Mus musculus: one gene and its partner. The protein of the gene in region 1 purifies or fractionates together with the protein of each later gene. This does not show direct contact. Links are inferred from orthologs where the notes say so. Each region holds a gene or a part of one and is shown on either strand. Other genes may lie near its edges.

Region 1 (2,881 bases):
GTGGCGTTGACATCGTTGGCCACCGCTGGATGAGAGGTGGCAAGGTACTGCAGGAGGACACTCTGCCCGACCTGCATACGAAGTACATGTGAGTCCACAGTGCTCAAAGGACCCTGTCCTGATGCTGTCCATGGGGACCTGCCTCCATCCTGACGTGTAGCAGTGCCAGGCTCCACACAGCTCTGGATTGGCTGGGTGGCCTTACCTGTATAGCGTGAGAGAGCCCAAGGCCCTATGATCTGCACAGAGAGCCCTGGTGGGGAGGTGGCCACCATGCCTTGGGAGTTCCTTACCTCACCGAGGCTCTGTCCCCTGCAGAGTGGACGCAGATGACCGCTCTGGGGAATATTCCTGCATCTTCCTTCCTGAGCCTGTGGGCAGAAGCGAGATCAATGTGGAAGGTAATCTGTGGGAGTGGTGGGGGCGGGCCAGGAGGTGGCTGGCGTGAAGGCCAGGGACTGGTGTTGGGGCTGAGAGCAGTCTACAACGTGCTTGGGCATCAGGGTTCTCATCCTCACAGGGCCACCCAGGATCAAGGTCGGAAAGAAATCAGAGCATTCCAGTGAGGGAGAGCTTGCGAAACTGGTCTGCAAGTCCGATGCATCCTACCCTCCTATTACAGATTGGTTCTGGTTTAAGACCTCTGACACTGGGGAAGAAGAGGTAAGGGCTGTGAGGCTAAGGACATGGAGCTTGAGTGGTGCCAAGGACCAGGCTGCAGTGGGAGCATGAGGTTCTGGACATGGGGGTAGGGGAGGCGGCAGAAGGGGCACCGGGTGCTAGGAATGGGAGTGGGGATAAGAGCATCAGAGGGGACACAGGAGAGGACGCTTTGGTGTGGGGATCTGGGACAGTGTAGGACAGACTCTAGCATGACATGACAAGCCCTTCTCCCTAGGCAATCACCAATAGCACTGAAGCCAATGGCAAGTATGTGGTGGTATCCACGCCTGAGAAGTCACAGCTGACCATCAGCAACCTTGACGTAAATGTTGACCCTGGCACCTACGTGTGTAATGCCACCAACGCCCAGGGCACTACTCGGGAAACCATCTCACTGCGTGTGCGGAGCCGCATGGCAGCCCTCTGGCCCTTCCTAGGCATCGTGGCTGAGGTCCTGGTGTTGGTTACCATCATCTTTATCTATGAGAAGAGGCGGAAGCCAGACCAGACCCTGGACGGTGAGCAGTCCTGGGTCTGGGTGAGTGGGTGGGATGCCCTCAGTGTGTCCACCTGGAGGAGAGTGGGGTCTGCTTGTAGCTCACCCTCCTCCTTCCTCCATCACTTGGCCACAAGCTGCTGTCCTCTGGGGAGCTCGCTGTGAGGACTTGGGGCTGTGGGTGCCTCTAGCTGTACACTGCATGGCGAGCTGGGGTAGGATGTGTTGGCCTCACCATGTGTTGATCATCTGATGTACGACACTTCTGCAGCACCATGAGGGTGGCAGTGTGGGGCCAAGTTCACACGAGCCCTGACACATGTCCTTTCTCTTTCATGTGGCTGCTCCTGGCTGCAGAGGATGACCCTGGCGCCGCCCCACTGTAAGTCCAGCCACTGTGGGCTCTGGGGAGCTAGCTGTGTGTCCTATAGAAATGGGGGATGCTCTGGGACTCAATGTGTGTGTCCATCTTTCATAGGCCTCAGTAAGTTCAGGGAAGGTGGATGGCTGCTGTTGAAATAATGGCCAGATTTCAGTGGGGTTGAGGCCAGCCCTGTGCCTGTTAAGAGTAATGAGCCCTGTTTTGTATCCCCAGGAAGGGCAGTGGAACTCACATGAATGACAAGGACAAGAATGTACGCCAGAGGAACGCCACCTGAGTGGTGGGGCAGGCGGGGGAGGGGAGGTGCCCAGGGTGCCTGACCCCAGGCCAGCGTCTACCTCCACTCCAGTATCCCATCCTGTCCCGATTTGAACCTACCCAACCCAACCTATCCCAACCCAAGTGAAGACAGAGCCTTACCTTACAGAAAACCCACCTGGAAGAAGCAAGCCACTTGCAGCCCCTGTTTCTAATTTAAACTAAATGAGGTTTCTATGCAGACAATCCATTCCTTAGGGGTTTATGTTTTTATTTTTCCTTCCCTTCTGAAGTGTTGTCACTACAGCCCTGTGGAGTGGGGGAATGGGGCCTTGTCCTTGGTCAGGAGGGAAGGCCAGTGCATGCTCTGACTTACTGTTGGAGGGGGCTGGGCCTGCTGGAACCCCCCCAAATAAAGACCTACCCCACCATGTGTGTGTCACTACTTGAAACTTCAGGACCCCATCTTAAAGGGAGAATGAGTGTTGAGGTCATATACAGGAGGGGTTGTTGATCAGCACGGCCTGGGGCACAGGTAAGTGCATGGTCCCTAGACCAGTGGTTCTCAACCTTCCTAATGTTCTGAACCTTTAATATAGGATATCTGGTGTGACCCCTTTGAAAAGGTTCTTCAACAGCACCCCCTAGGGGTCCTTAGAAGTTGAACCTGCAGGTACAGCCTTAGTCCTCATGGGTGTCCAAGAAAAGCTGTCTTCATAAGAACACTGCTGACCACCACTGATGTCCTGTACAAGCCTAGTACTGATCTGGCTGGTGGGCACCAGTGGGAAATGGGCAGTCAAGGGACTTGCTGGCTGGTTTTAACTCTTAAATTTTGGGCAGGGGTCAGGACAGGTGTATGTGGTGGTATAGTCTGACTCCAGAGAGACAGCTTTGATCCCAGCAGAGTACATCCCAGAGTGGTGGTGGTTAAGGGAGAGAAGTCGGGGGGGGGGGGGGGGGGGGAGGCGGGGCGATAGCAGACCTTTCTGAAGACTCCCTGAGGTAAAACAGGCCCTCCGCTTCAGGCCAAGGAAAAATTCCTCAGACACCTCCCTGGCCTTCCAGCCACTAGAGGGCGC
Region 2 (3,820 bases), on another chromosome or scaffold:
ACAGGATCCTCAATGCCCACCACTGCAATGCAGATCAGCGAAGTGAGGATTTCACCCTCAATGTCCCACGAGGGCTCTGTGCCATCAAAATCTCGGTAAGCTAAGCAGATAGTCCGGAGCCCTTCACTGGCCATGGGCTCAATGACATTGCGTACCATATTATCTCGGTCCTTACTTCTGAACGATTTGATTTCTCCTTCCTTGTTCAGGATTCGATCACACCTGGGGAGAGAGGCACATGGTTATCGTATGCTCACCAGCTCCTTTGAGCATGGTGGCATGGGGCATATCCTGACTACCTCTGTGAACTCACTAGGAAATGGGAGAGTCAGGCTGGTCCAGGCTGAATCCTGACTGTGGCACTGTTAGCTGCTCTCTCTCTGAGAACATTGTGCAAGTTCACTGTGTTTATTTCCCATCTGTAAAACGGGTCAAAATGGGTCACCACCTTGCCGAGGTGTGAGGGTTTATTAAAGGAGTCAGCAAAGTTCCTAAAAGCAATGATTGTCCTGAGTAAAAGCTCAGATGTCACTACCGGGCTGCAGGGTCACTCATCCTTCAGCCTGCTTTGGCATCGTCCCTCAGACATTCTTGGGAGGGGATGGGGATCTCAAAGGGGAAAACGGGAGGAAGGGGGCTCACCTGCGCAGCATTATCTCAGAGGCGCCCTTGCTGAACATGCGGAAGCCCCCTTCCGGCTTCCTGATGACAGTGCTCATGGACTTGCGCACTGAGTTGAAGGTGTACACCTTAAAGAGCTTCTCCTCAGGCACCTCATTGCGAACTGCTTGGTAGTCCTGCTTCAGGTCTGTGACAAAGCCCAGCAGCCCACACTCTGTCTTGTTGCCTACTTGTCGGGGTAGGCCTCCCTCCTTTTCTGGAGGCTAAGAGAGAAAAGAAAAACAGAAACAAAAACAGACATAGAATTAATGGGTGAGAGCTCTGGACCAGAGAGAAGACTTGGGCAGGTCAACTCGGTAGGTATACCAGTGCCCACAGGGGAGGCACCATTTGCTGTTCTTTCAAAGGTGACATTGTCTCACAGTCAAACAGGTCTTGGGACCTTACAGCTACTCTATGGTAATGAGGTGTCTCATGTCCTGGAAGTCATATTCTAAAGAATTCCCTGGTTCTGGGAAATGAATAATTAAATCTGGGTAAGTGCAACTCTGCTGTAGACACTGCCATATGTTTACCCCGAACATGTTCAGTCAGGAACAGGAAACAGAATGCAGGATGGCAGCTCAGACGATGAATGATAGAGGGTATGGTGGGTTGAGCCTGCATGGCCCCCACACGCTCATATATTTGAATACTAGGTCCTCAGTTGGCAGAACTGTTTGGGAAGGATTGGGGGTAAGCCCTAGTTGGAGTAGGTATGTCAATGGGTGTTGGGGGGTCTTTGAGGTCTCAAACACACTCATGTCCTCCCCAGTGTGCTCTCTGCCTCTTGCTTGTGGATGGAGCTGTGAGCCCTCAGCAACTGCTCCAGCGCTATGCTTGCCTGCCTGCTGCCACGTTTCCCGTCATGATAGTCATTGAGTTCTAACCCTCGGAAACTGTAAGCCCTCCACTAAACACCTTCTTCTTTTTTTTTTTTTTTTTTAAAGATTTATTTATTGATTATATGTAAGTACACTGTAGCTGTCTTCAGACACTCCAGAAGAGGGAGTCAGATCTCGTAAGGGATGGTTGTGAGCCACCATGTGGTTGCTGGGATTTGAACTCTGGACCTTCGGAAGAGCAGCCGGGTGCTCTTACCCACTGAGCCATCTCGCCAGCCCCTAAACACCTTCTTCTATAAGTTGCTTTGGTCATGGTGTACGAGCACAGCCATAGAAAAGTAAGTGGAACAGAAGATTTGTTTCTGGCAGAGTTGAGTATTGCTTCTCCGTCACCCATGCTGGGCACCCAGGCGATGGATGGCAAAGCTTACCTGAATCTTAGACGTGTAAGCACAGTTGATAGAGATGCCATTGACGATGAGCTCCAGAACCTTGGGTGGGAAGACGTCGGGCTGTGGGATCTGGCGGTAGTGAGTGCCCCCGATGTAAGCTTGCACCACGGTCATGCGGTTCATGGTCAGTGTGCCTGTCTTATCGGAGCAAATGGCTGTGGCATTGCCCATTGTCTCACAAGCATCCAAGTGCCGTACCAAGTTGTTGTCCTTCATCATTTTCTACCAAAGGAAAGAGAAAGGAGTTGAAAGAGGACCAACGGGGTTCCCACAGGCGCAGGCCGAAGGCTAAGTCCTAGTCCACATTTTTTCACTTGAGTTCTAGTCCTGCACAAAGATGCACTGCACCATTACTTGAAGATTTGACTCAGCTATTTAAACAACCAACGGAAATGGCTATTTTTCCAGAGCTAAGGATTTCTGTTCATGGGGGACTCTCTAAAGTGTCTAAAGGGCAGAAGAGTTTATCCTTCAGTCGAACGGTATAAGGTCCCCTCCCTTTCCGTCTCTGTCCCGAAGGAGCAGCATTTTTCCAGGCTTACCTTTACAGAGTAGGCTAGTGAGATGGTGACAGCCAGTGGCAGCCCCTCTGGCACAGCCACTACCAATACAGTGACTCCGATGATGAAGAACTTGACAAAATACTGGATATAGACAGGAGTGCACTCAGGAAGCCATTCTCGGCGCTGGATCACGAAATTGTCAACCACAAAGTACAGAATCAAGATGACAACTGTGAGGACAGACATGATCAGACCTGTCCAGGGCAACAAGACACACAGACAGGGGTCAGCTTGCTCTGCTCTTTCTAGAATTTTTAAAGCTATAAGCTTTATATTAAAATCTTCTCCCCATTCTGTTGCTTGCATACAATGACATTAGAGGGTTTTTTTGTTTGTTTGTTTTGTTTTTTAAAAAACAAAGTCTTTAATCACAGTGGTTCCAAAGATATCAAAGATACAGATTTTATTCTTAGCCCATCACCAACCTGACTCATATCCTTGTGTTAGTTGTTAAACCTCTATGGGTTGAGTTGCTAATTTAACTTCAGTCATAAATAAGAGGGCTTGCTGGGTTATGGTGGCATAAATCTGTAATTTCAGCACGTAAGAGACGAGGCAGGATGATCATAAGTTCAGCCCAGCTTAATTTACCCCTCCATCCCCCAAACCCCTAAAACCCGACCAAATAAAACAAACAAACAAAAAAGAGAGTAGAGTACGCTAGGAACGCCCGCTTCCTCCTAAAAGATGATCCTTACTTTTAAATGGCTGCATTCCACAAGGCGAAGAGATCAGGTTGCACCTCCACTCAGAGAACTAGGCCCACCCCACCGCCCACAGAGAACTAAGAAGCAGGCCACAGAGACTTGAGCGCTCTGTATCATGCGTGCTACATTGAACGTTAAATCCCTCAGTGTGAAGCTTCCTGACATAGTCGTCCCGTCCCCCCCATTTTTAATTTTTTCCTTTGTTCTTGAGATTTGTTCAGAGATTGGGCCTGATGCTCCTTCTCTTACTGAGTCATGGCCTTGAGGCCCTTTCTTCTAATAAACTGCAACGTCTGAAGGGGACTGTGTGTCAGCTACAGCCACACACGGACTGGCGGCCGCTGCTTGCTTCTGTTCCGTTAACAAGGTGGCCTACATTTTATGATTGCATTCCAGAATTTACCGAGCAGCAACTGCGTCTGCCCACTTAGTAGCTTACGGCTTTGACTTTCCCTCTTGAAAGTTCCACACGCTAGTTCCAGTGTGTCCCCACAGTGCTAGCACGTGTCACCTACATGATTTCTCCTATCATAGCATGGCATAAAAAGGTCTCGGCCTTCACAGCTGAGTCTCTACAGCCCTAGGAGATAGCT

What was found.
Region 2: the proteins of Bsg (region 1) and Atp2b4 purify together in Homo sapiens (affinity purification with mass spectrometry; 3 studies listed by BioGRID and IntAct, counting the BioPlex papers as one, with this or other methods). This does not show direct contact. The link is inferred for Mus musculus from reciprocal best matches to the Homo sapiens genes BSG and ATP2B4.

What each region holds. Positions count from the first base shown.
Region 1 is NC_000076.6:79,709,740-79,712,620, forward strand, and holds the end of Bsg (basigin isoform 1 precursor), read left to right. Parts: coding exon 1-88; intron 89-318; coding exon 319-401; intron 402-520; coding exon 521-663; intron 664-898; coding exon 899-1,181; intron 1,182-1,516; coding exon 1,517-1,541; intron 1,542-1,754; coding exon 1,755-1,818; 3' UTR 1,819-2,240; downstream 2,241-2,881.
Region 2 is NC_000067.6:133,729,727-133,733,546, forward strand, and holds part of Atp2b4 (plasma membrane calcium-transporting ATPase 4), read right to left. Parts: intron 2,715-3,820; coding exon 2,500-2,714; intron 2,180-2,499; coding exon 1,937-2,179; intron 885-1,936; coding exon 643-884; intron 223-642; coding exon 1-222. UniProt on the Homo sapiens protein: Calcium/calmodulin-regulated and magnesium-dependent enzyme that catalyzes the hydrolysis of ATP coupled with the transport of calcium out of the cell. By regulating sperm cell calcium homeostasis, may play a role in sperm motility.